Lepisosteus oculatus: one gene and its partners. The protein of the gene in region 1 purifies or fractionates together with the protein of each later gene. This does not show direct contact. Links are inferred from orthologs where the notes say so. Each region holds a gene or a part of one and is shown in the gene's direction. Other genes may lie near its edges. The genes, in order: eif4g1a, hnrnpd, mknk1 and pdcd4b.

Region 1 (7,244 bases):
GTGGGACAAGCAGGGAAGCCCAAGGCCATCACAGGCTTCCAGACCCACACCACACCGGTGCTGCTGGCCCATGGGGAGAGAGCCGAGCTGGCCACCGAGGAGTACTTGCCCGTTACGCCCATCCTGGAAGGCTTCGTCATCCTGCGCAAGAACCCCAACTATGACGCCTAGAACTCCCTCACCCCCTATGGGGGCTCTCACTGCCCCTGGACTTGTCTCACTCTCATTCTGTTGTATTCTGCCCCCTGGGCTAGGAGAGCCATCTCCTGAAGAAGGAGACCACAATGCTGCGAGAGGAAAACCAGCACCCACAGATAATGCGTTTTGGCAGATGTTTATCATGTTTTTTTTCCTTTTGTAATAAGCGCATGAAATGCCAGTCTGTTATAACCAGAATTATTTTTTTTGTTTTGTTGGTTTTGTTACAGTACTGTTAAAGGTTATGTAATAAATTTATTTCTGGTCCACTCTCTGGACTGTGAAAGTTTGTTTCGGTGTGTAATTGAAGACCATAATTGAGGGGCTGTAATGTCAACAGAAAAATTATTTAAAAAACCCTACAGAATTTTATGAATGCATTGTGGACTGTCATAAACAAGGTTTGCAGTGCACAGGCAATGTTTTGGACTTGCAATAAAGTGCTATGTATTTTTTAGCATGGGACAATTTGTCAGTAAATCCATGTATTAAATATTCTAATAAAATTTCTTGTTCTCTAATTGCTTTCAAGCAGAGGGTTAAAAACTTTCAGTGTCCATTCAGTTTCGTAAAGTTTCCCAAGTCTAAACTTAATTTGAATACTAATTTGTTTCTGCTGTCATTCTGCATTGAAAACCTGTAGGTGTACTTATATTGATATATGCTGCGCTTAGTGTTCTGAGGATTTTTCTGGTACATATGGTGTTAATTTACTATACTGGTTTTCTGACTTGTGAACATCCAGTTAACCAGGTGATCATTTTAATTATATTTTCCTGCTTCCTCTGTGCTTGTCACAGAAGTTTTTCAGTGGAGCTTTGAGTGAAAGTTAAAATTAGAACATTAATTTTGACTGCTAAATAGACTTATGTTATTTTTTTATATATTTAACATAAGAGAAAATTCCTTGAAGTTTCAGACTGGAATGTGGAAGAATGTAATGCTCTCGCATACAATAGCTGCTGGCATGTCTGTGATGTTGCACATATCTCTGGGTAGAACTGCTGTACAGCCGTGCTGAAGGTCTCAGTTCCTCTGCATCCTCTCCTGTGTACATTAGAGCAGTACTCCTGATCCTGGAGTGCCAGAGCCTTGACAATTTTATAGGTAACCCACACTCCTCAGTAGCTACATTATAACTAAATTGTGATTAGGTCAATGACTCACTTTCCTCACATAATTCTAGATTTTCTTGCTCTATTCCACTCCCCTAGCAACCCTCTCACTGTATCACTGAAAAGGGTGGTGGCACTGGTTTCGTGTGTGCTGACTTAATCCTGCCTTGTCCACTCTCTTCTAACACCTTCGAGTTTCATGCTGTTTATCACACTGGGTGGAGTAATGGTGAGGACTTCAAACTATAAAAGGATGTGGATTCAACACCCAGGTGGGACACAGGTGGGTATTGAGAAAGGTACTTCTCTCAAGTTGGTTTAGTGAAGCGCCCTGTTGTATTCATGGGTAGTTAGTAAATGATAGCTTGTTCTTAACCTGCCAATCAGCTGATGTTTGTGTTACCATTTCCTAGCTGGGGTTTCCTAAATGAGTTGAAAGGCTTCCTCTCATTTATAACTTGTAATCAATTGATGTATGTGTCCCAGTCCTGTTGTTGTTTCTCCTGTCTGTCTGACATGTCAGAATCATGACTCTGGTACCCCTGAGTGGAAAGCAGTGAGGGGGTAGAAGACTCTTAGCCTTTATGCATGATTTGAACCATTGTGTGCCAGTGACTGAGCCTATGTCTCTGTTCTGTGACTGAGGAGACAAACCTGTTGGCCTGCACAGAAGCTGCTGTTGGTAAAGAACATTGTCTGGCCTGCCAGTTTACAAAATCCTCTCTACAACCCCCAACTTTTAACAAATTACACTACACTGACACTTAAGAAACCTAAACACTTAAAGCTCTATCATTTTGCTCATTGCAAATAGTTGGAATAGTGCTGTAACTAAAAACTAAGTTTGTGTGTAACCATGTCTTCTGTTTGCTTTGTGAACCCAAAAGCATATTGGTGCTGTTTTCCGTAGCTTAGCATTAGGGTTAGTGCATTTTTATCTTAGGATCACCAGTCCATCGTACTCACAAACACTAGGACTGCTTAAAGATGCCAGTTAACATAGGCAGCATGTCTCTGGGCTGCGAGAGTAAACAGGATCACCTGGAGTAATCCAACAGGGTAACTAGGAGAAATGCAGACTTCACACGGAATCACCCCAAGCCAGAAGCAAACCCTGGAACCAGGAGCTGCAAGGCAGCAGTGCTAACCATCACACTACTACGACACACTCATTATGTGCTGTTATGGTAGTTTAGCATTCGGAAAATATAGGAGATGAAAATGAATCTTCTGAACCCAAAGATCAGTTGCTCTTTAGTCAGTAATATACTTTCATTTAATAAATTTTGAGGTTAGTTTTTGTTCAATTTAACTAAAAACGCACTGGTAAAAATTGGCTACATTGGTCAGCACAGACAAGATAACAGATGAAAGAAAACGTTTCAGCCGTGGAGCCTTCTTCTGGTGTCAACACCTGAAGAAGGCTCCATGGCTGAAACGTGGTTTCTTTCTTCTTTTTTTCAGCATGGAATAAACCTATCACTTATTCCTTTGCAGCCTACGCATGCTGACGCAGCTACCCACCCAAGATAACAGATGGAAAGAAGGGGATGCTGTGACTAGCAGTAGATAAGTCACCTCCAGCTATTTCTGCTGGCCCAAACACTTTAATCATATGTGTGAAAAGCATAAATTTGATGCTTTTTAAAAAGGCAGTGCATTGTTGTGCTCCACTGTCACCACACTGTCAACTGAAGGTCATTCCACTGTGTTACAAATTGTGAATGTGCTTATCACATTTCAAGGAAAAGCAATTCCTGGTGAGGAAAAGCACATTTTTGTGTTGCTTTTATTAAGAAATATAGAGGATATAGAAAGCCTGCACTCAGGTTTTGCTCTTTTGTGGTGTCAGATGTGACACGTGATCAACCAATGGTTTCAAGTAACCATAAGAACTGGGACACATTCACTTCGGGTAAATCTTGGTGTGAAGTGTAGGGTGTAAAATTCAGTATTGGATTGTATACTCTTCTGAGGCAATAACTGCATGGTGTCCACAAACCTCTGATCTCACCAAACTCGTTTGTTGAAATATTTTAGATACTTTGCTGTAGTAACTCAGAGTCAGTGTTCTGAGTTGCAAAATCAGTGCACAACTGGATTTCAACCTGGATCTTCAACCAAGACCTTGGTTGCGTTGGCTGTATGCTTTGGATCACTGTTGAACTGCATGGTATAGCACTGGCGAGTAAGTATGGCAGTATTTTCTTCTTTAAAATCAGATTAAATGTTTCTGTAAACTTCAGAATACATTCTACTGGTGCATTCATTAGTTGTATAATCAATTCTAGCAGCAGCTCTGCCCACCAGCTACTCTTCTATATTATATGCAGTATAGATGAGTCCTGAGGGTTATGACTCAGGGAAAGATGGAAGGAAAAGGGGATATCATGACTAATAGTGAACAAGCCAGCAGCAGCTATTTCTTCTGGTCACTACACGTTAAACCTCAGTTAACCTTCCTGATTTAAGTACCTTTCTGTGGAGAGACAAAATGAGGTTCCATTGAAAACATTCAGACACAGTCCGTGATTTAAAATAAGTTTCAGTATCAATAGTTACATTGACCCCTCAGACATTGAAGGCTGCCCACTCTGTTGCATTAAGAAAATCTATGTGTTTGCAACAGTTGCTACACAGCCCCACCCACACTTGCAAAAAAGACCCAGCAAGTCTAGATCCTATTATGACCTTTTCTGTGAGGTCACATTCAACATTGAACCTGCCCAAATCTAGCAAGCTTACTTGCACATGGTCAGGTAATGCCACGTATCGTTCTTGAGCAAGTGACAAAAAACAACTTTGTTTATTCTCTAAAAAGCATTTTTCTTATTGGAACGATTGGCAGTCTCAGGTCACATGACGAGGGTGAAGAATTCCTGCCGCCCTAGTCACATGACAAGAGTGTGAGGATTCCCATTGTAATTAACCCGGAAGTCTCTCACGGTTTCCGTGAGGCTCCGTCCGGCTTTGCGGACTCAAGGAGAGAAAGGTAATGATATGGCTCTTCACTTCACTCTTTGCTAAATCTGTATCGTGTGGACACATTGCCGTCAATCCGTGTGCATCTGCGCTTTAAACATGGAGCTCCGGCACAGAAGCTCTCATTCGGGACACATGCTCACCCAATAAGATATATTTAAAGCAGTATTGATTTATTTGATTTCTCCTTTTTTTGTTTTTCTCGTATGCTTCCAGGGGATTTAAAACACACTTCTCGCCTAGATCAGCAGCCCCCCTTTCCCCCAAAAAAAGGTTAGGACACCCTCTTTCCCTTGGAACTGGAGCCGAAGAAGCGATTTATAGGTTTGGGGGAAAAAGTGAATAGAAACGGACGAAGTACGGAGACAGAAAAGATCTTTTCTCTGTGAGCCCTTGTTCTGTCCCCTCTCTGCATGTCCTTTATTCACTTTAGGTAAGCAGTCTCTGGGTTTTATTTTCTTCTTTTTTTCCTGGGAATAGCTGTTTAAATAGTGGTTTCATTCCGGCAGTAAAAACGTTAAGTGTCTGTTTGGGGGGCTCGGTTGTTTTATATATTTCGGACTTGTTTTGCTGCTGACGGGTGGGTGAATCGAGTTGCCTTCTGTGTGCATTTTGGACAGAACTGGCATTTCTGGACCGTGTTTTCGCGTAAGCTGTTTGTCGGGAGTTGGCAAACCCGATCTCTTTAAAATTGACTTCTGCAGAAACGTTTTCACAACCGGATTGGCCGTTATGTAGACGCATTTTTTCCCAGTATCCCGGAGACAGTGTAGTTAAAATGTAGCTGGAAGAGCCCGTATTACTTTTTCGCTTGTGAAGCAAGAATATCATTGGGTTGCAGTGCCACAATACTGGAGCCCGACTCGGGGTAGGCCCCAAGCTTTTTAATTATTTATAATGAAAATAAATGGAAATGTCGGGATTTATACTCCGTAAAGCTTGGGGTTTATAATGATGCCTCGCCGGCCTGTGTCACGGAATCTCTTCTTGGTGATTATTTGTTAGATTCAAATCGCTGCGTGTTTTTAAACAAGATCACTGTCTTCTTGGACTGCGTGCATTCACGCAGATGGGGTTGCTACGCTAGGCCCCCTCGATGGGAGCCCAGGCCCTTCATAGTTCGGTGAAGCTCGGCTGCTTCTTGTAAAATATGGTGGGAAGGGGAGGCAAACCACTGAAGCAGAGGGATTGAGATATAATCTTTGAGTAGTTTGGAGTCGGACCTTATTGTTAAGTTTTGCGCCGGGAGTGAAAAGTCGATTTGCCCCTGTTGAGCGCTGATTGGGAGGACCGACCTACCATATGCTCGGCTGAGAGAGACAGCGTGACTTTAGAGAACCGGCTTCCTCCTACTGCTTGGACACGTACTTTAAACGGGTAGATGAGTCAGTGTTTTCGAATTTTTTTAAGGGATCGGTGTTTTTTTTAAAGGGTGGGTATAAGTTTTAAAAATGCTGCGTTCTCTCTATCGGCCAGTGGGGAAACTGCCTTTCTTGACTCTTAAAAGGCATTGCTTGTCACTTGAGGTCGAGACATTTTTTGTCCTCTTCTAAAAATAAAATGCTGTGGGAGGATAAGCGAGTTTAATTGGGTTTGTTGTGTTTACTGTTTACAGTTAATGTTCAGGACGCTAAATTGGACTTCAAACTCATAAATAGGTACATCTGGTTGGAAGTTCGAGGCCTTCACAGCTCCTCCAGTCTCCTCGCTTCTGGCGATTTTTTAAAATGTGTCTGTACGTTTTTCAGAAGTCGAAATTAAGTTTTGCCGGTTTCCATGTTATACTAGGTAAAAACGTGTTTTATTTATTTCGTAGACGATTTTTTCCAAAGGGTGGCCTTGATCGCAATGTGCATTGACATTTCTGATGGTGGGAACTTATTTTTTTCATTGTTTAATGTACTTTAGGGCTTGGTTGAACCGGTTTTTTCGTTCGGTTGACGTTACAGGGTGCACGACCGGGGGTCTGCGTTATCGTGCGTACGCTGCACTGTTTACAGTCGTTTTGAATGACACTCGGTTTGAGAAAAACGGGAACGTGTTAGGACGATACATCTGCTCGGGTATGTGTGTTTATCCTTATTATTAATTGTAGTAGTATTAGGGGGCGAAAAGACGGACACGGCTGAGTTGTCATTAAAGTTGTGGCGCTTTGCTTTCCCCTTCTCTGTGAAATAGTGACACGTACCGCGTATGGAGAGACTTATATACGTCTTTCTAAATGGCATTACGATATCGATACGGCTCACAACCACCCTTATCCCCCGAGTTCGAGCCTTGTTTGTTTTTGTGGAGTTGGTTTCGAGAGTGAGACGGGGGAGTTATTTTCTGAAGCGGGCCCTTTTTTCTGAAAGTCGAGTTTTCCATCATGGCTGGCAGAGATGGGGGGGATGACACGTTGAGTGTGCCGAGAGGGAGGCCGGGCACTGCGGGGACCAATCCGGAACTTTTAGACCTCTCATTTTAGGATTTGGACACGATTGCTTAACGGACTCACCTTTACTGACCCTGTTGTTGGACAAAACCGTTTAGGCCTCTGTTATTTTGCAATCGTTTTGCAATCCAAGAGGTAGGTTAGTTGTTTCATTACCGTAAATTCACCGAATTAAGCGAAGCTAAATCGCATTTGGCGTATGAAGAGAAGTTTATCAAGGCTGCGGATCCTTACACAGTTTGGGTAGCAGATATAGACATTTCCCGGGGTGTATTTTTGGGGAGTGAAAACGACACGTTGTAACACTGCCGTCCTGGTGAGAGAGAGAGCGGCGTTCAAGGCCTACATAGTAAGGTCGTGAAAAACTCGCGTATTTCAACTTAGTTCGGCATGTGATAGTGATATAAATGGGAAACGGGCCACTTCGACATGTACGGTGTCCCACCCGACTAGGGTGGGAGCCAGGAGGCGTTATTTGATGTGGTTATACGGTCGGTTTATTTCATGTGTGAAGC
Region 2 (7,764 bases), on another chromosome or scaffold:
CAAATCCGAGAATATTTTGGAAGATTTGGAGATGTAAGTTATACTAACTGTTGAGTGAAAGAAAGATGTACAAGTCATTCTATATTTAACTTTTTTAAAGTCATAAAGTGTGTTGGAGCCGTAAATTGTGTACACCTGTGTTGTCTGGTTTTTGAATTGGTGCTCCAAATGATAAACGAGGTGTCTTTTGTTCTGTTTGTAGATTGACAGCATTGAGCTCCCCATGGACACCAAAACAAATGAGAGGAGGGGGTTCTGCTTTGTAACATACGTAGATGAAGACCCTGTTCAGAAGCTTCTGGAGAACAGATATCATCAAGTTGGATCAGGAAAGGTACTTGGATTTGATCTGGATAAAAAAACTACTCGAACACGCTTCATTGTAACTGGTTTTATTCTCAAATGACTGATTGGCCTAGGCAGCTTTGTCTCTGTAGCTAAGGGAATAGAAAGGGAAATGTTAATTCCATCTGCACATGAAGCTGTAATACGAGAACTCTTAATATTATTGTACTTGGTAACTGTGGACTAACTGATGTCTTGTCCTGTGTGGACTGTATGAACATGCTTCATGAGAACTGTACTCAAGTCAGAACTTTGAGTGCACGTAGAAGTTTGTCTGGCTTGTTGACAGTTTGTTCACGCAGTTCTGGTGTTTGTGTACACAGTGCGAGATAAAGGTTGCCCAACCCAAAGAAGTGTACAGGCAGCAGCAGAGAGGAGACAGGGGCAGCTTTGGAAGAGGAGGTTCCAGAGGAAGAGGCCGGGGAGGTGTGTTCCACTTTTACTCATTAAACTCTATCATTCTTTTTCTGCTGTCCCTAAATTCCAGGTGCTCATTTTACAATCCACACATCCATATTTAAAAAGGTTGCAGGTTTCACAATACTTAGCACAATGTCACAAGTGGAATACGAAGTACATGTACAAAATCAAGAGCCAAATGATTTGCTAAATCTTGGTTATTGCAGCATGAAGGTTAATCTGGATTGGAAACTTCACTGTCGGCAGTATTCAGTGAACATTTTAAAGTGCAACTACATTGTTTATCATGCTAAAAGCTTAAATACATCTTTTGCTTTTACAGAATTAGTGTAATCCCGTCTAATTGTTCTTAGAACGTGGCGTTCTGGAGTTCTGTTCCTTTCTGTATCATTACATCTGAATTGATTTCTCAAGAATTATCTGGCAGTTCTGTGCTTGACAAATTGCTCACTTTGAACATGTATTCATTTGTCCATCACAGGTCAAAGTCAAAACTATAACCAAGGCTATAATAGCTACTATGGTCAGAATTATGGAAGCTACGGCAATGGGTACAATCAAGGATACAATGACTACAGCGGCTATGATTATTCTGGGTACGGCTATAATAACTATGGATATGGACAGGGATATGACGACTACAATGGTAAGCAGAACTATTCATTACAAATCACCCGAGTGTTTAAGTTATAAAATTACTGTGTATTTTTATATCAAAAGCACATAACCGGCCTAGTATGTACAATAATGAAGATCAGTAATGTTGCCTTGGATTTTTATTTGCTTTGTTTACGCAGACAAATTTCTTAGGTCTATATGATAGCAGATGGTCACTATGAAGTTTTCAGTACAGCAAATCGATTTTTTGGGGGGAATTTGAAGTTTAAAATAACTTACTGTTACTTGGGCCCTTGTTGGCAAATTTACCATTTGAATCTTTTTAAAGCATAATCCCCATTAATAACTCCCAATAAATTGATTTGCTTCCGGATTTGTAATTTTTACCATTATTTGGTTATGGATTTGGATTGTTTCCTTGTCATTCATGCTTTAATCTTAAAATTAAGCTTATATTGAAAATTGTTAATTTTAATATGGGAATACATGTTACACAAGTGTTCAAATCATTCTGTGATTATTTTAAAGTATGTATGAAGAAATACTGGTGGAAGCAGTTAAAGTAGGTATATTCAGTGTGGAGACTTGTACAAAAAATTACTTTGTATAGACATTTATTCAGAGATCTTTTGTACCTTTTTATATGGTACTTGTCCATGCCACTACTTGAATTCCCCAAGGATAGGGTGCAAAAAGTGTACAATTTCTGTATGATGCACTAATGTTTATTGAAGTAAATGACAACTTTTATTTTTAATTAGGTCAGCAAAGCAGTTACGGGAAGGCTTCAAGAGGAGGCGGAAATCACCAGAATAACTACCAGCCATACTGAAAAGAAAAACTAAAGGAAAACCTGCTCAAGGAATTTAGGTAAATTGAATCCTAACCCCTTGGCTGACTTCTAATAATTTTAAAGATCAATAGACAACTCAAAAAAAAAAAAACCTCCTTCAAACTTTAAAATGGTAAATATTGCCATGAACATCATCCCGAATGTTTCATTTTTTTCTTTAACAACTGTCTATAGATCTTTAATATGCCATGCTTTCTCTGGCAGTTTTTTTTTAGTTCTCCAGAAAAACGTAAGGGTTTTTCTGTAGGTTTCCTCCCTTTTCTCCTTTGATTTTTGTAACAGGTGATCATGTGGAAGTAACATAAAGAGACTTATTAGCAATATTAACAGGTAAAGTACTGCTAAAGGGTACAAATTAAGGGCCTATCTTTACTTTCCTTCTTCCTAACTCTGATGTTGTACCTTGTTTGTACCTGCCAGCGGGAACTTCATTGCAGGCCGTGTGTCACCCTGACCACGTCATTCTCTGGGCGTCGCACATAGCGGGCAGAGAGCACGGCATGCACAAGAAAACGCTGTCCTGTGGTATGGTCTCTTCCAACTTCCTGTACCAGCGTAAAGATAAAAAAATAAATAAAAAAATGGAAACTTCAGACTTTGCCTTTTTATTTGACAACGGCTTAACTTTTGTGTAAATGGTTTTTTGCAGGATTTGTGTTTAATCTTAAATGACTTAACTGTTTAATTGTATTCTGTTTTTATTTTAGTGTCGTTCTTGTATTTCAGTTCTGGACCTTCAGTGATTTTTGTTTTCTAAAATAAACTTTAAATTGCTTAAACTTTTAATGCTTGCTTTTTCTTTATAGCCAGTAGAGAAACCTTCAAATGATAAAATAACGACTTTTTTTAAAAATGTAGGTGTTCGGGATCATATGTAAAGAAGCTTACTGAAGCCAGCAAAAGCCATTCTGTAGAGGTCAACTGTGTGCACTATTAACCTCAATTTGTAACTGCCTGAAAGAGGGTTCAAAAGTAGTGGGGGGCGGGGGGGGTGGTTATGAATTGCTCTTCAGTGGTAAGTGCATCTGCTTTAGAAATGGAGCTACACCTAAGCTTTTGCTGGCTGTATCACTTCTGCCAAGCTGAGTGTGATACATATGATCCTTAACACGAGAGAACTTCATAGCTTAAAGTTGGCAGCACAAGAGGTTAATCAGTGAAACCTGGCCGTGTTCTAATTTTCGGTTTTAAAGTGCATGGACACATGGAATTAATGTGCGCTGTCTCTTCTCTTTCAGGTGAGGAGCCCAGATGAGTTTTCTGCTTGTTACCCTGGTGGCAACTGAGAGATTCTAGTCCTTTTAAATCAAGAACAACTGTTTTTATTTTAAGATGACCTTGTTTTCTAAATTAGAGGCAAAGTTGGCACCAGCAGGTGTCTGTTTGTAAATAGAAGCTTTCAAGTTTTGTTGCTGGAGTTGGCTCATTCATTCCTTGCCATGTTGGTGTTGTAATGAAATATATTTTTGTTTGTTTTGTAAAGCGGTCTTTACATTTTTATGCTTTTTTATTTTGTGTTTTTTGCAGCCATGAAGGGAATTAAAGAGTATGGATACAAAAATGATCCTGGTGTGATTATTTTGGGAACTAAATGCACTGTTCAGTAGCCATTCAAATACTTAATCTCAAAACAGTGTTTCACTTAATGTTTTGAGCTTTTATTGATTTTTGTGATAAGTATTCGTTTACACCAAGTTTTTGATTGTGGAATTATTTATAAATGCAAATGATTTTTTAAAACATCTTTGAAATTCCTCTGAATATATTGCCGTCAAGTTGAGACGTTTTCAATTTTTCAGTTGGCTTTTAATGTAATTTACTCAACGTAAATTGTAAACTTTAATTCTCTCTGATGTTTTTGAACTTGATACTTCTCATTTAGAACATTTTAAATAGTAGATGGCTCACCGATGGTTTATATCGGGGCAAAAGGCCAGTATAGGGACTTACTGTACACTAAATAAAACTTTAAGTACAGCAATCTGAAACAAACGGTTGCGGGTTTTACGAAGACTGCGGCCTATATAAAGGTAAACATGCTAAGGTCCGGTTTGTTCCCTTGGCTCATAATAACGGCCCGCGGAATCAGGAGGCAGGTTTCATTGAAATTGAATTAGGTCAAATAGCTGTATCCAGGACATACAGCTCTACCTTTTGAGAAGCGGGGCACATTCAATGCTACGCGGTCTAAAAATGGTCGGTTTGTTTCGGCTTCACTCTATTAATCTGGATAATCAAGTACTTTTCCGGAAAAATCTCACTTTAGCTTGAAAAGTCGAGCTTTTCGTTTTAATTTCTCATCATAAGAAGACACATATTCTATTAATCGGGAGCGCTAGTTGAGTGTTATGAGTTTATTTAATGTGACCTGCATTTCAAGCGGTAGAAAAACTTGAGACCCGAGCGACTGTGATGAACGGCGCAGTACAGCGCTTCCCCTGAAGAGGGCTGCCTGCGATTGTGTCATACTTGTCCGATTGGCCCCATGCCGAACGTCGACGAGTGCTTCCTTCCTGCGACCATTTTGTAAGCGGCGCCATTAAGATTCAAAGAGCACTGCGTGTATTGAAATAACTGTTAAAAACAGTAGAAAAACAACTGGCCCTTGTTGCCAGCGTAAGACCTCTTTCACTTGATTAGTGCGTCTTCCAAACAGCACGCGTTTGCATTTCATTCTGGAGTAAAAGGCAAACCGGTTGAGAAAATATACCAAGGGTAGTTATTTCTTGTGCAATAAAAAAATGTCGGAGGAGCACCAAGTCGGAGAGGACCCGGTGGTGAAGATGGAGGAAGACGGGGAGGCGGGCGGAGAGGAGCAGCAGATGGCGACCGGAGAGAGCGGGGCTTCAGAGTCCGAGGGATCGAAGATCGACGCCAGCAAAAACGAGGAGGATGAAGGGTGAGAGACGGACGGAGACCCGACACGGACTCTGTAGTCTCCAGGGCGAACAAGGGGCTGCGGGCAGTACTGTCACTGACGATGCTACCACAGAGACAGGTCATCGACAAATGGGTCCCGTAACGTGTGCTGCATTAATCTGTGTTGTGCAGCGTAATCCGTAATGTACAACAGCAATCTCGAGTGACGCTGAAACCTTTGTTTTTAAATATAAAATGTCTCGCTGTAGCTGGCGATGTCTGGTACTCCAGTTGGAGTAAACTGCGGAAAATTAGTTTTTCTTTTTGCAACAGTACTCCAAAACGTGAAGCTGTACCGCATAATTTATCGCAGTCCATTATAATCACGACATTATAACAGAGTGGGATCAACTGGTGCCATATAGTTTATAGACCATTATTAAATCTAAGGGCGTTTAAACGGTATTAAAACGCACTTGAGAACACTGGCAGTGAAGTGTTATGACTGATACACACTTCTACCTGGTGTGGAAAGTATTTCTGGAAGTTGCTATACAGTTCATGGCTTTTTAAGTATCGTACAGAGTGGGTATAGTAACGTCAGCAACCTGAATAACCGCGCGGTGGTTCAACTGGGTCACACCCAAGTGTCAGCTATCTGAAGCGAAACCGGTTTGTCCTCATGAGACTCAACCGGTTTCGTGAGTGATGCTTGCTGAGGATTTGCACCCTATATAGAGTCACGGTATAGGTATACTTAGAATGTTTTTCTTGTGTTTTTCAGTTGACTAAAACGTTTACGGTGCAGACGCAGTGATTACTTAACTCGGATAAAAGTGTTACTACCTCACCCCAATTTCATTTTCAGTTGTAAATTGTAGATTTACTTTGATTACCTGCTACATTGATACATATCGCACTGTCTAGATAGGTATTTAAGTGCTCAGGAATGCAAATCAGTATTCTAGGTAGTTTCACGGTGTGTAAACTGTTAAGATATCTGGTTTTAAGCACAACATTTAGGAAGTGTTATCAAGGCGAGTGGCATGCTGTGCCATAGGTCCTGGGTTCAGTTCTGGGCAGGGGTGTTATATGGGAGGAGTTTTCACATTATTGCTGTTGCTCAGGTAAATTTTGACATGTGGTCCAGTTTCCTTCCAGTTAAGAAAGACATACTGACTATACGAGTTGTAGTATTTACATTTAGAGTGTCTTTGCGCCCTGCAGTGGTCTGGAATCCCATTCAGAGCGTCGTCACCCTCCATGTTCTAACCCCTCTATCTGACTCGGGGTCGCAGGGGAGCCGGAGTCTATCCTGGCAAGTAGCACGGGTGCAAGGCAGGGTACGCCCTGGATGGGACGCCAGTCTATCACAAGTCTATCACACTGCGCACACTCACACCAGGGCCAATTTTCCAGAAGCCAGTTAACCCACCAGTATGCCTTTGGACTGTGGGAGGAAACCGGAGCAGAACATACAAGCTCCACGCAGATAGTACTCTGGGAATTGAACCCAGGGACCGAGCACTGCTAGGCTGCAATGTTTACTACTGCACCACTTTGCTGTTCGAAGACAAAATTCACTTAGGCAAACAATTGTATTATAAGTTCAGGTGGGTAGCTGCGTCAGCATGCGTAGGCTGCAAAGGAACAAGTAATAGGTTTATTCCATGCTGAAAAAAAGAAGAAAGAGAACACAACGTTTCGGCCGTGGAGCCTTCTTCAGGTGAACACCTGAAGAAGGCTCCACGGCCGAAACGTTGTGTTCTCTTTCTTCTTTTTTTCAGCATGGAATAAACCTATTACTTGTTCCAATTGTATTATAATGTGTGTCTGCATCAGCATAAGAGCATGATGTGATGCTTATACCATGTTAACACATTGTCTGGTATGGCACCCAAGACACTGTTAAACAATACATCCATATATGGTATGTGCACATGTGGTTGCATGTAAACCTGTTCCTATGTTTTTCATCCTTAAAAAGATTGTTTTTAATGTACTTTTAATTCTTTAACAGAAAAATGTTTGTTGGAGGGTTGAGCTGGGATACAACGAAGAAGGACCTGAAAGATTATTTTTCCAAGTTTGGAGAAGTAGTAGACTGCACACTAAAACTGGATCCCATGACTGGACGGTCCAGAGGATTCGGCTTTGTATTATTTAAAGATGCTGACAGCGTTGATAAGGTATTTCTGTTTCTGAGGTTAGCATGCTGCCAATTTGCTAGAATTGCCTTCATAGTAAATGCACAGGCTCTCTCAAACATTTCTGCATTGTGAAGGTACTAGCTTATAGTGGTTACAGCTACTACTTACTTACAATTTTACTACCAGTTACTCACAAAGAACTGCTGTTCTAAAAGCACTTTCCATTTCGAAGATGTGTAGAGATTTTCCAACACGGTTATATAAAAGTACAGATTATTTTTTAATGGGCATATAATGCTGATTTCAGTCCTGTGCAAATGTTTTTTTTTTCTTGAGGATATCTTTCTTTAAGCATATTATACTGTGTATAATTTACCGATACGCTAAATGAAAGAAATGTCTTTTTGGTCCATGATCCTACATTTTACATTCCTGATTTGATCAGCAAATAATTTGTATGCCTAGGAAAACCATAGCTATTTTTATGGTTTGAAAAAAAAATAGAACTAATCAAGAAAT
Region 3 (7,146 bases), on another chromosome or scaffold:
TGACACTGAGATGTGGACACTCACAGACATCATCACTGGGCCACCTTATACATGGAACCTAAATCAGGAGTTTTCATTCAGGAGATCAGAGACTCCAGAGGTCTTCAGAGTCCATTCCCAGGACAGTGGGTCCCAGGATACAAAGAGGAACCTTTCTCCTGTGTCAAAGGTGGAGGAATGTCAAATCTGCTCTGGCAGAGTTCAAGGTGAATTTGTTGAACCACAATTCCATAGTAGAACCACAGCAGAATTATTCTTAAATTCTTACAAAACTGGGGGTCCTGACAGAGAGAGATTTTGTGCTGTCTACCTTGGACCTGCAGAAAAACAAAAAACGTACATTTCTTTTCTTCTTTCTTAGTGACGGGGTTCAATTGACTGGTCAGGTTATCAAATTAAACCTAAACCAGAAACTAAAGTAAAATAAGTATATCTAAGTGTAGGTACTGTGCAGGACTTGTTTGAAAAATAATACATTACTGAAGAGGTACAATCTGCACCCCGGTTTTGCATTTGAATATCATTTCATTCCTCTCAGTGACAAAGAGAGCTTCAACAATTAACAGCAATAAAAGCTTTTTGTAAATAGTGTTCTGATTTTTATATGACTTTTTACCTGTATTTTCAGATGATGCATTTTACATGATGATCTTTTCAGTAAAACTGATTTATTGTACAGACCGAAATTGTGTTTTGTTTTATTGTTGATTTGACCCTCCTCACTTTTACTCTCTTATATTGACTGCTCACTGAATACCTCTGAATTGAACAGGGTTAACATTCTGGTGCTGTTTTACTGTCCCAATTACAGAAGTGACAAATGTACACTCTTATCTTTTTAATGTGGTGGGTGCAGAAGGCTTTCTAGATGGCTGCCCTCTAGTGGTTCAATCTGAATGCTTTTCTTAAGGTCTGCTTTGAACCATGTGTAGATTAAGTTGTTTTCTTATACCCTCCTCGACTCGCTGTGCCACATTTTATCTCATGTGTTCAAGTGTGAAAGCCTAAGAACTCCTTTCTCTGGCCCACTGCGAAAGCTCTATTGACGTATTGCTTGTCAAAGTCTCATTTCATAACTTCACCCAAAATCTTTCTGAATATAACTGCATGTAAGACAGGGGTGTCCACTTCTGGCCCTGGTGGGCGGGTGTCATTCCAACTAAACCTCTGGACAAGCTAAACCTGCTAGTTACTGACTTAACTGGACCGATCGATCAGCTTCTCTTAGCTCTTTAGCTGATAAAGCTTTAAAGAGACCTGGAAAACTTGCAAACATACTGATATCAGACAATCCTATCTCCTTGAAAGATGATAAATCCGTGCAGCGTAGACACACCAACAAGATCGAAAATGCAGTTAAGATAAAAAGTCCGTTGGTCCCGCTAATGGCGTTGTATAGGAAATCTTAGACAAATCGCCTAATTTCTTTTCCATGTTTTTGTTGGTTACAATAGGACTGAAAATAGTGTTTTCAGGGAAAAAAACTACACCTGTCAGCCATCTTTATTCTGCTCCATGAGGAAGTTTTCTGTTTTCTCTTTCAAGGCACATTTGTTACGAAGCTGTCAGGAGCAGAAGGCAGCAGGCTGCCTGGTTCAGGCGGTGAGCAGTTTCCTCACAGCACTGATCTCTGAGGCAGGCACCTCGCACTGCTGCCTCCTGATGCCCCATTAGCATGTCAGCTGCACAGCCACATTGCTGTAACGCGTCAGCGCCAGGCCCTGTGAAAAGACTCCCCATGCTCCTTCCCTCTGTCTCTCCCATATACAGGACATGCCACAGACACGCATATTCCAGCTCCACCGCCACTGCTGGGGAAATAGTGGTTAATTTAGTGTATTACTATAAGCACCACTATGGTACAAATATTCTGATATTAAGGAACAACTCCTTAACTCCTACATATGTGGTTCTATGAAAATTGGGAATTTATTGTTTTTTTTATTATTCTGAATGTTCTTTATGATATACTGCTGCTTAGAATTCCATTTCATCTTCTTTAGATTTTGCCAAAATGTGTGGCATTCTCATATCTTTTGCTGTGTAGAGAACTAGACGGAGGAACTCTCTTGAAAAGCACTTTATTCTGTTTCACAGGTGAAATGCATCACAAATAAAAATCTGGACATGAAACTTGTTTTGTTTTTTCTGAGAAGAACAAGTACAATTTGCCAAGCATATTTACTATTGGCAGTCTGAACCCAGGCCTCTATCAGGTGGTTATGAGCTTAATATTGTTCATATACAGTTTGATATAACTTCCCAATCTAATATCTCATCAGAAATATAGAGCATTGACAATTCCTCTCCCACTGCACTGCTCTTGATCAGCACTAATACTGGAAACGAATTCCCCAGAGGTGCCTATAACACGGTTCAGTTTTTCACATTCTTTAACTTGGATGCATTGCCTTTCTGAAGAATTTAACAGCTGTCTAAATTTAACTTAATGTACTTAAAGTGCCCTTCAGCGTCTTTGGAAAATCACGCTGTTGGTAGCTCGAAATACACCACACCCCTGTGAACTGTTGTACTCTAGCTGAAACCTCAGCCAAGCAAAACAGTTCACATTCTTTCTCAGGGTGATTTGGAGCTCCTGTCTTTCCAAGACAAGAATAATCGGGCCGCAAGCCAGCAAGCAACGTAGCTGATGCAAGTCCAGTCTCCAGATGGATGTGACGTATTCCTACAGAAATGTCTGGAAGTTTTGAACTGAAAAGTGTCTGGGTTTCTTCTGCCCTGGAGCTAATGGAAAAAAAAACCTACTTTATAGCTTTAAAAGTTGTTTTATTAGATTTAGTTCTATTGCCACATCTCTCCTATCATCAATTCCTTACCTACTTCATTACTGAACTTGAAAAACAAGTCAGGTCTTTATTTTTTTTTATTTCAGTTCAGGCTAGGCTGTGCTGATAAATGTGTTTAAACAGAAAGACAAAAAAGCAGTTTGTTAGATTAATGGCTAGATTCTTGCTAAGATGTCTCTTAGTTGGTTGCCAGGAAATATACTGGGAAGATGAGCACAGTACCATAACAGGCAGAGGAGTCCATGCAAAAAGATTAGTGTCTTTGATGAACAATTAATTAGAACATTAGTTAAAATGTCAAAAGGCATTAATAGATTTTGAAACAATGTCTTGAATTATATTAAATGTTGGTAGAAAGTTTGTCAGGATATTTATCCTGCCTCAGATGAGTTAGGACTGAGACAACAGGAAAAACAGAAAGTCCTTCTCGGCACATGTCATTGTGTGGGGCTTCCTGTCTTATTCCTGGAGGGCCAGAGTGCCCGCAGGTTCTCATTTCAGCTCAGCTCTTAACGAGCTCAATCAGCTCGTTACTGGCTAAATGAGGCCAATTGAACAGCTTGAACAGGTGCTAACCTGCAGAACCTCACGGGGAGCCCAGAACCAGCGCATTTTGCATATAAGCATTAAACCACCAGTTTCTAAAGATCTGAAACAACTAAACTGGCATCAGCTCAGACAGGTGACTTCTTAAATTAGCTTATTTAAAGATCATCTGGAATAAAATGCTGTGACCCTTCATCCTCAATAGCCATAACATTTACGTGCTTCTAATCTTTATAAGCAGGTAGTGCAGGCACCTGTAAGACTACGTGGATCCTGGGATTGGAGTCTCCTTGTCCCTCTATGTACACTATATAGATGACATACCATACATTGTGGACTTGGTCTTGCTTTTTTACCATGCCTCACACTGTGGCTCTAAAACACCACCCCAAAAGAAATCAAAGACAAATTCACGAGAGCTTTAAAGTCTAGTTTAAATTCACGACTTTTTATAGTATAATTTGGTTTTGTTTTGCGTAATGTACACCCATGTGTAGTAAAGCACTGGGGGGGGCGATTGTTTTTAAAGGCTCTGTATAACACAAAGGTGACAAGTTTCGTTTGCATTACGGAGACCTTACCAAGATGGCGGACAGTGACGCCCATTGTACGATCTGCGCATGCGGAGACAGAGCCCCCGCCGCGGCCGACAGCAGGCGATCTGGAGCAGCTGGACAGCACCGAGGGGTTTGATGTTGTGGTTTGGAAGATGGCGGAGGGTTTGAAGGCGGAGTTAAGCTGCTACGGGCGCAGTTTTCAGGTTTGTGTCTGTTTACGTTGGGCAGGTGCATTTATGTACACCTAAACTCTGATTTCCAGCGTGACTAAGTTTAAAAAACACCGAGGTTATTCAGTGGGCACCGACCGGTTTACCCTGGTGACTATGTGCTCCGTCTTTGGGGTTAACTTCAGTGCTGGACACGTAGTAGTACAGTAAATTCTTACTTATTGTGAGTTTCATCGGTATAGTACGCTTAACACTCTCCTTCTTGATAAAAATGTACTAGACTTGATAAAAATCTGCAGTTTCTTGCGAAACGTTGTTCTGTTGTTGTGTAACCAATTTAGTTATTGCGAAATATTGTAGTTGCCGGCTCGTTAGAGAATACTATATGACGACTTAATGTCTCTGAGACATGATGTATTTATATCAACTAGACTAGGGATATAGTAGCCTGCAAACGTTTGTGAACTAAATGAGGTCGCAACTAGACTAAAATCTGTGACTAACTTTAAATTATTAATATTTCAGTGGTTACATATTGTAGTGTATTTCTTAAGTCGTATATTTCAGATGAGACCGTTTGGTGGACAGTTTGCTTATCCGTGTTCATTGCCCTCTCTAGTTTCTGTTAAGGGCTGTTCTCTTACCGTTACAATGATCACACACAGCCATGAGATATAGATTCTAATTTAATTAAAACACAGGAATTCTGCTGGTCAGGACAGGGCGGTTTCATCTAAGCAGGATCTGGAAATTTACTTTGACCCTTGTCAGCCTGTGTTTGCATGTTCCGGAGGTATGCTTGCCAAGCGCTGTTGTCATGTTGGTCTGGAAAGGGCTTAGTATATTTCCCAGTGCATTTGTGGTTCAATGTGGATGATCTTCAGTGGCGGAGGCAGAAATTGCACTGGGCGGGAAGAGTGCAACCCTAAGCCTTCTCCTGCTGGTTGCAACATGCACACGGCAAGAGATCGACAGACCAGAGCTTGCTCCCTTTCTGACTTCCTGCGTGGAGAGGGTTTCTGCGTGTGTTGAGGATGTGCTTTGTCATTTCTAGCTGGCGGAGATGGTGCGACACAGCAAGATTGCTGAGCTGCAGGCCTTTCAGCACACTCTGCAGGTAAACTCCCAGATCCGTGTTCATCTTGTTCCCGAGTTGCCCCTTGCCTGCCTGCCTCTCATGTGGTTTTATGGTCAACAGAGCACCCTCTCCCAGCAAACACACAGCTTACTAGAGCTGTCGGGAACTCAGGAAGGGCTTCACAGTGTCTAAGACAGTGTCGCCTAGGTCAGACCGCAGAATAGACCACTGTGATGTAGGCTACTTTTTTTTTAACAAGAAGAGCAGCCTAACTTTTTTTGTCATCACCAGGCAAACCTCAAACCCACATGTTCCTGTGCACTAAAAAAAGAATGCCGTTTCTGAGAAACCTGGCATTCTCTGTTACAAGGGCAAAAAGTACGTGAATGAAACTACATGTGCAGTTAGTGTTGAGGGGTGTCTCCTCAGTTGAAGTTTAAGACCTTTATTTCTTCGTGGGGGAAAAATGGTAGGGAAACCTTTTTAAAAATATCTTATCAATGATTGCACATTTTTTCTAATTCTTCCTGTTATGCAGTTTAGAATGGATGCTATGTTTTTTAGAGTGTGGTCAGTTGTGGGGTGGATTAAATTCGAAGAGTCAGGAACTTTAGTGTAAATCTGTTGGGGAAAAAAAGATGTCTGTTTTAACACTTTCATTTCCTTTTCAGTCAGTGTAGCATTATGAGATCTGTGCTCGGTCAGTATTTCATTTGTTATCACCAGGAAGAGGAATAAACCCCGTTTAAAGCAGAAGTGAAAATGCTACTGGGTGTTCCCCTCGTGTGCTTCCAGTTCAGGCGTCTCTTATTCCTCCTGTAGATGTTTCGCTTTCCGCCGTTTCATACCTCTGGAAAGATCCCTAAATTTAACCCCTTTAAAGCAGAAACGCCTATGCCTGATCGCGTGCCGAACATGCAAAAACGAGGAAACTGAATCCGTGTGCTTGCACGCAGTCGTGTTGAAGGGCGATGGTGTTTTTTTTTTTCCCCCTCCTCCAGTTGCAGAACAGCTCCCTGGCCTCTGTCCCAGCTGGGGGGGGCTGTGCGGGACTTGCCGGCCTCCCCCAGAGCTCCGCCGCCACCACCTCCGAGGAGCTGGCACCTGACACGGGCGCCACAGCCGGTAAGAGCCCACCTCCGAGGCGGGCAGTGCCTCACTGCCGCGCATCTCCTGCCTGCCTGCCTGCCTGCTGGGATTCTGTAAATTAGCAAGCGCAGAGCTCACTCGAGAGTGGTACTCCCCCCGCCACTTTGAAATGAGTAGCGGCGTACTTGAGGGATTTAAAATAGGCTGCTTTGTTTAATACAGGAATAATTCTTAATTAATGAGTGGCTTTTTTTTTAAGCAATGGGAAGGACAGACTTCTCATCGGCTGTAAGCTGGGAGCCTGTCAGGATACTGGACGGGATAGTACAGCTTTTGCATGAGGAAGGGTCTCGTTCATGGGGCCGGATGTCATTTGGTGGCATGTTTTTAAATATCATGTTGTTTTAAGGCTTGCGTTGCTTCATGCTTTGCCAATAGGTTCTATAAAGACTTTATTGGCACCACACTACAGTATGTAGCAACATCCTTGCGCATCTACACTGGCGTTTCTCAAGAAATCGGCGGTCTGATCTATAGATATTCCCTTGAAGCTACTATTAGTCATAACAAGGAGGAAGTGACACATTAATAAGAAGTTACCTTTGTTGATTTCGATTTTGGTACTGCTTTTCTTTTGGTTTACGCGAGATAAATAGTTAAACGGTGCTCTTTTTGAACTCTGTTCTTATCCCTAATCGAAGCACGATCAGTTGTCTTGATTCGGGTTAAAATGGACTGGCGCAGCAGTGTAGACAAAACCCTTCAGGTCAGGTGAGGATCAGATGTAACGCATGAAGGCATGAAAAGGCCTCAAGAGCAGCAGCTTTTCAGAAATAATCTGGGCAGATTGGATGTTGGAAGAGATGCGTCTATGTTCCAGGGACTCCACATGACTGAAT
Region 4 (7,445 bases), on another chromosome or scaffold:
TAATGCACAGCACACCTATCTAAAGTGAAAAAAACAGCTCAAGAGCATCTCTCCTATCTCCCACGAACAAAAAATAAATGGTCACGCAAAGGCACAGTGCCATTGCAGTTAAGATTAAATGTACCAAAGAACAAGGCAAGGCCATGTTTTTTGACACACAGTAGTACGTGGAAACGACTGTCTTAAAGACACAACTTCCTTAGCCAGTTTGGTATTGCAATGGATTTGATTCCTTTAATCTTCAGTACAAGGCTCTTGTGCTTGTGCTTTTGCATTTCCTTTCCCCTGTCTTAAATCTAAAAGACACTAGAATGGAAAGGCTAGAGAGTGATCTGTAAGCAACCAATCTAATTACTGTGTACTAACAAGTTCCAGTGCTGGCTGTTGATGAGCTTAGTAACCAATGCAGATTCCAGTACACACAAAAAGAGCTTTTAATAGAACAGAGTACTGAATTAAAAATAATAATAATAAAGGCATCAATGTCAGGATACTGCAGGTCTTTTCAATCATCTATTTGATTGGACCTAAAAAATGGTTCTTATCCAAATAATTAGTTCAACTAAGTAATTAAGATTAGGGGGGGTAGTGACTTCTGAAATACATTATCATATGTTACAGTACCAAAGGACAGTTACTTTAAAGGAATTTAGACTTCTTGATTTGATATAAAAGACTCATGCTTTCACAGCTCTGATAACACTCTGTGTCATCTTCCCTTGCTTTGAACCCAGTGTTTCTTTCCTTCCAAAGCAGTGTAACCAGAGACAGATCTGTGACCAGCATACTTCAGTGGGCACAGACAGCTGGCAGTTCCTACAGTAGATTTATGAGCTCAGAAAAGAACAAATGAGGTGAGTGGCTTGCTGACATCCAACTAGTCAGAGCCTTTTGAAGAGCTGTTTGCAATCATGTGTCACCTGTAAAACTTTATATCCACCCTCTTCTACAATGACAGGCAATCTGTGCAGCATAAAATCTTACCACGTCTTTTTTTTTTAAACAAGATTTTGTTATTCACGGTGTTCAGCATTCATTTGAGACACTGAGCTTAGAACTCCCATGTTTTTCACATTGCTATCACAATTATTTGCTCTCCCTCAATAAAAAATGAAATAATTACAATTAAGTAGCCTGTGAGTTAGTGAAAATAACAAGAAAGTGAACCTCTCATTAAACTTGAAAAAAAAAACAACAGTTTGGCTTACAGTTTTGTGTGAAAAGAGCAATAGTGTCCACACCCTGAGCTGTAAAAGCAGAAGATGAAAGCCTTGTGAATTACTTCATTTTCACAGGCTATCCAAAAGTGGAAAATAAAAATCCTTATCAAGGACATTTGTGCACCAAATATTTACAAGTTTTCTTGTAAATGAGACATTGAAAGGTAGCTAGCCAATTTTTTGAAAGACAATGTTATTAATGTAATGCCTTCCCTTCTACTCTACTGTTAACTGTTGTCGTTGTCAGGGTTTCTTAACACCACCTTATCTTTTTCAGTTTCTAGGTTTCACACAAGGTTTATTTATATCAAAAGGAGCTTTGCCACCATAAATCAATGTTCTTCCCACTGAAAATGCAGGGAATGTACTGATTTAGCAGTTTACATTGTTAAAATATATGCTTACTTGAGCATTTTTGAAAGCAACTTCACTGTTTTATTTCAACAAAAGCTCATTTAAAAATGTAATGTGTTATAAAGTAAGTTTAATGCATGTGGAGGGTAATTTTGCACAAAGCAATTGCATAAAAATTTCGATGATTAATTCTCTGAAATTAGGCCCAATTTATCTAGGGTAACATAAGACTTGGATGCATGTCACCATGGTAACAAGTAGGCCATCATGCAGTGAATCAAAAATAAGTATATATTACAAACCACAGCGCAAGGAAGAAGAAAGAAAGGTTTTAATATTAATAATCTGCATGTTTACTAGAGATTAAAACTTAAACCAAAGAAAGAATCCATTCATTTTTCTGTCTATACCTGTCTGTGTATCTGTAAGTTTATCTAAACACAAAACACTGTATTATTGCTTTTTATCTGTGAACCAAGAGAGCACTGTACGTTGGATTGACAGTGAGGAGCTGTTATTGAGCTGCCTGTCACAGCATGGAGAGTGTTATTTACACCTGGATGAGGCTTAGTTTTGACCACAGTGCTCCACTTGACCCCTCTGTAAATGGCAGCTTCATTGCTGCAAAGAGGAGCAATTGGCCAGCGTCCCAGACAAGGGAAGTCTCACTCTCTTACTGCCGCCAACACGGAGGTGAGCCGTGGATCCACTTATCCCCCTTTTCCTCAGGAGGCCTGACGCCATCGCGGAGCAGCCCAGAGAGACAGTGGTACTGTACACTGCTGAGCCAGAGCAGTCCGGCTCCAGTCACATCTAATGAGCAGGCTGCCTTCCTGCTGCTTGGGCTGCTGGCCTGAAGGTGATCAAGCGCTGCATATGAGATAATATCTGTCTTTTTTGTATCTGTCCATTGCTGATTTGTAATTTCTTTTAGTGGGATTGTTTTCTCTCTCACTCGTTTAAATCCAGTGTAATCAGACTCATGCAGGAATTTAAGCAACATGATTGTACATTCTCAATGTGTGTTATTACTTTGGACATTTCATTCATTGCTTAATGTGAAACAGCTGGATTTTTTTATCAACTTCCCCACAATATACTGTGTATCAGGTATAATTTATTTAAAACCTATTTTTTTTATAACTAAGCACGGTTTGTTTTCTGGTTATTGTGAAAGGCACTCTAGCTGCGGGTTCTGTATTGTTGTACCCAGTCTTCTTGTGCTCAAATTATCCGGTTTAAAAGTTACCATGCGGAGAAAAAGAAATCCGCGCATGAAAAGAACGCTCTGGGTGCTTAAAAGAGAGTAGTCCAAGGACCGAAAGTTATTCTTGTGAGGTTGAATAGTAAGCTCTAATGACTCCCTATAACTACGCAAATAATTTTCATGAACTGAAAATGATTCAAATACATAGTAAATACATTTTAAAGAATTTGTATGTATGGGACCATCTTCCTTTTCATGCGTGCTGCTTCACATTGCTTTGAGAATTGCAAATAATGCATCATCAACAGTATGGAAGACAAGGGACGCATATACAGTAGCAGGTTTGTTAATCTAATATGCGTAACCGCATCGTTCGTAAATCACATGTGTTAAATACTTTTTATCACGGAAGTATTTTACACGCTTTTGAAACAATTTGTGTTAAAGCGCCAGAAAAGAGTGCAATCATATCCAGAATTCCAATGTCAGGAATTCTGATGATTCTCCAAAACCTCATTTTATTTGTCATTGTAGTGAAAACCTGCTTTTTGAAACAGTACTTTAAGTTGTATCAGATCCAAATTTTGTAATTATTTTGTCTAGTTTTGTTTCAGAAGTAATTATCAATGGATACTTACAACCTGGTAACCCTATATAAGAAGTGTATAGGGCTACCTCACCACAATGCAGTCGATTTGTTTAATTAACGCGCAGCGGTAGTACAGGACCGCCAACCTGTAGGTGGCAGCACATAAAAAGGTGGAATTGACTTGTTTTATTTATTTTCGTAAGTGAGTTTTTAAAAAAACATGCAGTGGTTCCGATAGGTTGTTGAAGTATTCCGCCTCCCTTCCTCTGACCAATAAAATGCAGGGGTGGAGATCATGTGACATTGTTGCTGGGCAGAGAAAACAAAAACAATCGAGACTTGGAAGTTGCAGCTGGGACTGGGTTTGAGTGAACACAGTAGGTTAGTACAACTAGTGGATACTTTTGCGGTCATAACATTGCACTCCAGTTGTAAAGTATGATCGCTTTTGTTCAAATTTTGTAATGTACGAGATTAAGAAAACAGAAATTAGGTGTTTTTGGAAGCTCTGATTGTTGTTGGTTAAGTACTGTAGATAATAAACATAGTTAACACTAAGTTGGCATACTCGGTATATAGTACAAGACTACAGGTATTAGTAAACGAAACAAGGACGTTAAATCAGAAACATGGCTCAGCTTCTTTTAGTGCTGTTGAATAATTAACTGCACCTGCTTTGCTGCATTCAAATTATGGCATCATGCTAATGTAGTGCAATTGATGCGTTAGTCTGCATTATTCTAAGCATTTACTGTAATGGGTCATTTAATGCAGTGTTTATCCACGGTAATGTATACATTTGTCATTATTTTACGTTTTGCATCAGGTACTTGTTTAATTTATCTGCTGGATTTGCAGAGCGAAACTCGTAGAATTTTCTAGAAACCAAGTAGCTTGCCAGTGGTACCCCACTAATGGTGGGGACCGTTTACATCATCTTTACAGCAAAATGTTTGAATGATGCTCTGGGGTATCGCCGTGGCTCAAAGGTATAGGAAACAGGGAATAAGAAATCAAGATCGTGTGTGACACAATGCTGTTCCCGCAGAGAAAGGGGGACAGAGGATCTCCGGGCATGTACGGACAAGTGTGTGACTTCAATGTCTTGCAACTTTCCTGCAGAATTTTCGTTTAGAAAAACACGTACACGACGTGCAGGGAAAGCCGTGTCTGCAAGTGTGATAAATTTGCATTTTTTGACGGAAGGATAATAACTTCGGCTTTTGTTTTGCTTTTGCAGCGGACCGCTTTGTGCACCATGGCGACCGAAATCGAAGCTTGGCTTAACGCTAACCACGTAGGTAAGATGCCTCGTTTGCTACACTCCCCCTACAGCCAGCTCGTTTTTTAACATTTCATGTTTTTTTTCTTGGATTTTAATGTGTTAGTTATGGACTTTCTCTTACTTTATATTACCGTGGCGCAAAATGCACGAAGGAAGTACAGGCTGTTATTTGTCGCTGAAGTTGGGGAGTCAGTTGGAAAGAGGTGGGTAACGCTGCTCTGGTGTTTAAGGAATCTGCTCTTGCATCCAGAGTGACTTGATAAAACATCCAGCTGATGGAAAGACAAAATGCGGCGACTTCCATACGTAGCTCAGAAACGACGAAAGACTGGAGTTCAGCATGTGCCAGCGAGTATATTTTATTAATTTTAAACGGCTTGTTAGATCTTCACTTAATGAGGTAATTGAATTGTACATTCTGCTTTCAGAGTGACGATTCATTTGATAAGGTTCTGAAATTGAGTTGTTAGTTTTTACGGAGAGCACTTTTCTCTAAAGAAAAGAATGGTATATGCTCTTAGAGTTGTATTGCAATCTTGCGTTTCTTTTCATTACTTTAAAAGGGTCATATCTCTAACTTCTAGTTATTCAGGTATCTGTAGTTATACCTAAAACTATAAGGAGGTTAAGTAAGTTCTGTAAGCATTAATTACCATCTATCTGTATGGTTTAATTCTGAACCACACCTTGCATTGACATGTTTAATTAAAGTGAGGCAAGCCCTTTTGCAGACATCACAGTCTTACATATGCAATTCCTGTTCACACAAAGTCATTTGAGCTTATTACGGAGATTATTGGGGGTCTTTTCAGTTGTTCTGGAGTGTCCTTTGCTGAAGTGTGTAGTTCCATACAGCTTGATTTTGCTTAATCTCAAAGTGTTGTGTAGGAGCAGCTCCTGACTGACTGTGATGGACTTGAAAACGCATGCAGAGAAATTCATGTGCTGCTCTCGCCACTAACCAGCTGCTCATTTGTAGTACGGCATTCTAGTTTACAAATACTGTTTTAAGTTTCCACAAATGTTGTCCACATCCTGTTTAAAATCGTGTCCAATAGATAAGTCACCTTTCTCTTGTTTGCAGTAGCGCAAACTGATCATCGTCAGTGTAATTGGGAGAAAGCAAATCTGAGCCATAAATCTGCTTCGTGAATCTCCTCATTTGGCCAAGGTCTTTTTATGTTTAGTTGAAGAAATAGATGCAGTTTAAGATCAAACTTAATTCAGTGGTACACTACCATGCATATCTTTGGCAATGGGACTTTTTTTTCCCAGTAGGACTAGCTTTGTGCCTTGTACTGCTAGAAATGGCAAAAGGTTTAGTAAGTAGTGTGACCAAATATGGTGGAATATTAATGAATTAAGTCTGATCTTAACTGCAATGGTAAAAACAGTGGAAAACATTGTTTCATTTTACACCTGAGAATTTGATGTTCTTGACTTGTCCTTTTATTACCTGTACTGACCTCATTCCAGCTGGCAAGTTTAATGTCGGATGCCTCACTAGACTGTCGCCAGAATCAGATTTGTATGTGTTTTTAATGTTTGTCCTGCGTGAAAGTACCATCTGAGTGAGGAGCAGAGCAGCTCTTGTCCAAGTGGATTTCTTCAGCACATCTTGAGAGACCTGTACTCTATACATTCAAAGACGTGCAGTTAATAAAGATGCTTTAAGCTTCTCCTTCCCTTTTTCTTCTGCTTTAATAGATTTGGCTCCTGGCTACAGTGGTTCACAGAAGGCAAATCTTTGTTTTCCTTCTGGCCAAACAGAATTATGCTGGAAAGCTTATCAACTTAAGTTTAAATGAAGGTTTAGGCACAGGGAAGAAATCTGTGGAAGGAGTTTGAATGTCAAGAGGCCAGTTTGATTGAAACAAGACCCATGATCTGTACAGGTGGTAACAGCCAGCCTGTTTCTTTTGAGATTTCCATAGTGGGGGGACAAAAAAATGTGAGTGGGACTGATGAGTGAATTGTCTTCTACAGCAGCCGAAGCTTTGAGTGACTCCAGTCCGTCTGGTGAAGACGAGAAGGTGGAGACCACCAAGCTGGACAATGAGATGAATGGGAACTGGATCACCTCTCCCACAGTTACCATCCACGAAGCGCGGGTGAAGGCCAAGGCCAAGAGGCGGCTGAGGAAGAACTCCTCCCGAGACTCTGGCCGGGGGGACTCCCTCAGCGATAACGGGGAGAGCACCCGCAGCCCGCTGGTCACCCCTACCAGCCCCAAGAGCAAGCTGCTGGACAGAAAGTCCCGGTCTGGGAAGGGCAGGGGACTGCCGAAGAAAGGTAGTTTTCTGCCAGTCTTGTCTGTTTTTCTGCAAGTCCTGCTTAATTCGGTAGTTATCTCCAAATATGTTGCATTAATTTTTAAAAAGATAAGATTATCAAGTAGCAGGTGAAGAATCCCAGATGTGATGTACAGAGTAAACTCGTAAATGTCTTTTTGTTTGTATGAGTTAGAAGGATCCTCAAACAGCTAGTTTTGCTGACGCCCAGTTGATGCAATTACCTAGATGAAAATGTATTTGATTTTGGACTACCTTTTACAGATAAAATAAGTGATATCCAGTTGATGTGAAAGTAGGTGCTAATATCCAGAACCTGTTTATTTGACCTACATTGCTCTCTGTTTCACTGTAGGTGGCTGTAGTAGTGGTTGGGTCTTCTGTTCATCTGGTGTACCCGTTTGGGGTTGAGCTCATACGTACAAATGCAATAGCACAGGATTTCAGTGTGTTACCAGGTAGTGCATTTTATAAGGGATCAGAGCAATTGAAAACCCCC

Evidence for each region.
Region 2: the proteins of eif4g1a (region 1) and hnrnpd purify together in Homo sapiens (affinity purification with western blotting; 5 studies listed by BioGRID and IntAct, with this or other methods). This does not show direct contact. The link is inferred for Lepisosteus oculatus from reciprocal best matches to the Homo sapiens genes EIF4G1 and HNRNPD.
Region 3: the proteins of eif4g1a (region 1) and mknk1 purify together in Homo sapiens (affinity purification with western blotting; 3 studies listed by BioGRID and IntAct, with this or other methods). This does not show direct contact. The link is inferred for Lepisosteus oculatus from reciprocal best matches to the Homo sapiens genes EIF4G1 and MKNK1.
Region 4: the proteins of eif4g1a (region 1) and pdcd4b purify together in Homo sapiens (affinity purification with western blotting; 3 studies listed by BioGRID and IntAct, with this or other methods). This does not show direct contact. The link is inferred for Lepisosteus oculatus from reciprocal best matches to the Homo sapiens genes EIF4G1 and PDCD4.

What each region holds. Positions count from the first base shown.
Region 1 is NC_090708.1:18,070,234-18,077,477, forward strand, and holds the start of eif4g1a (eukaryotic translation initiation factor 4 gamma 1a), read left to right. Parts: upstream 1-4,100; 5' UTR 4,101-4,305; intron 4,306-4,311; exon of another isoform or gene 4,312-4,728; intron 4,729-6,844; exon of another isoform or gene 6,845-6,864; intron 6,865-7,244. Other genes in the region: psmd2 (26S proteasome non-ATPase regulatory subunit 2), read left to right, coding at 1-171.
Region 2 is NC_090698.1:27,393,699-27,401,462, reverse strand, and holds the start of hnrnpd (heterogeneous nuclear ribonucleoprotein D0), read left to right. Parts: upstream 1-4,740; 5' UTR 4,741-4,977; coding exon 4,978-5,135; intron 5,136-7,115; coding exon 7,116-7,284; intron 7,285-7,764. Other genes in the region: hnrnpdl (heterogeneous nuclear ribonucleoprotein D-like), read left to right, coding at 1-33, 203-334, 669-771, 1,247-1,411, 2,145-2,215. UniProt on the Homo sapiens protein: Binds with high affinity to RNA molecules that contain AU-rich elements (AREs) found within the 3'-UTR of many proto-oncogenes and cytokine mRNAs.
Region 3 is NC_090704.1:3,495,482-3,502,627, reverse strand, and holds the start of mknk1 (MAP kinase-interacting serine/threonine-protein kinase 1), read left to right. Parts: upstream 1-4,004; 5' UTR 4,005-4,062; coding exon 4,063-4,113; intron 4,114-5,134; coding exon 5,135-5,197; intron 5,198-6,159; coding exon 6,160-6,283; intron 6,284-7,146. UniProt on the Homo sapiens protein: May play a role in the response to environmental stress and cytokines. Appears to regulate translation by phosphorylating EIF4E, thus increasing the affinity of this protein for the 7-methylguanosine-containing mRNA cap.
Region 4 is NC_090699.1:39,632,473-39,639,917, reverse strand, and holds the start of pdcd4b (programmed cell death protein 4b), read left to right. Parts: upstream 1-4,388; 5' UTR 4,389-4,403; coding exon 4,404-4,457; intron 4,458-4,610; coding exon 4,611-4,671; intron 4,672-6,641; coding exon 6,642-6,947; intron 6,948-7,445. UniProt on the Homo sapiens protein: Inhibits translation initiation and cap-dependent translation. May excert its function by hindering the interaction between EIF4A1 and EIF4G. Inhibits the helicase activity of EIF4A. Modulates the activation of JUN kinase.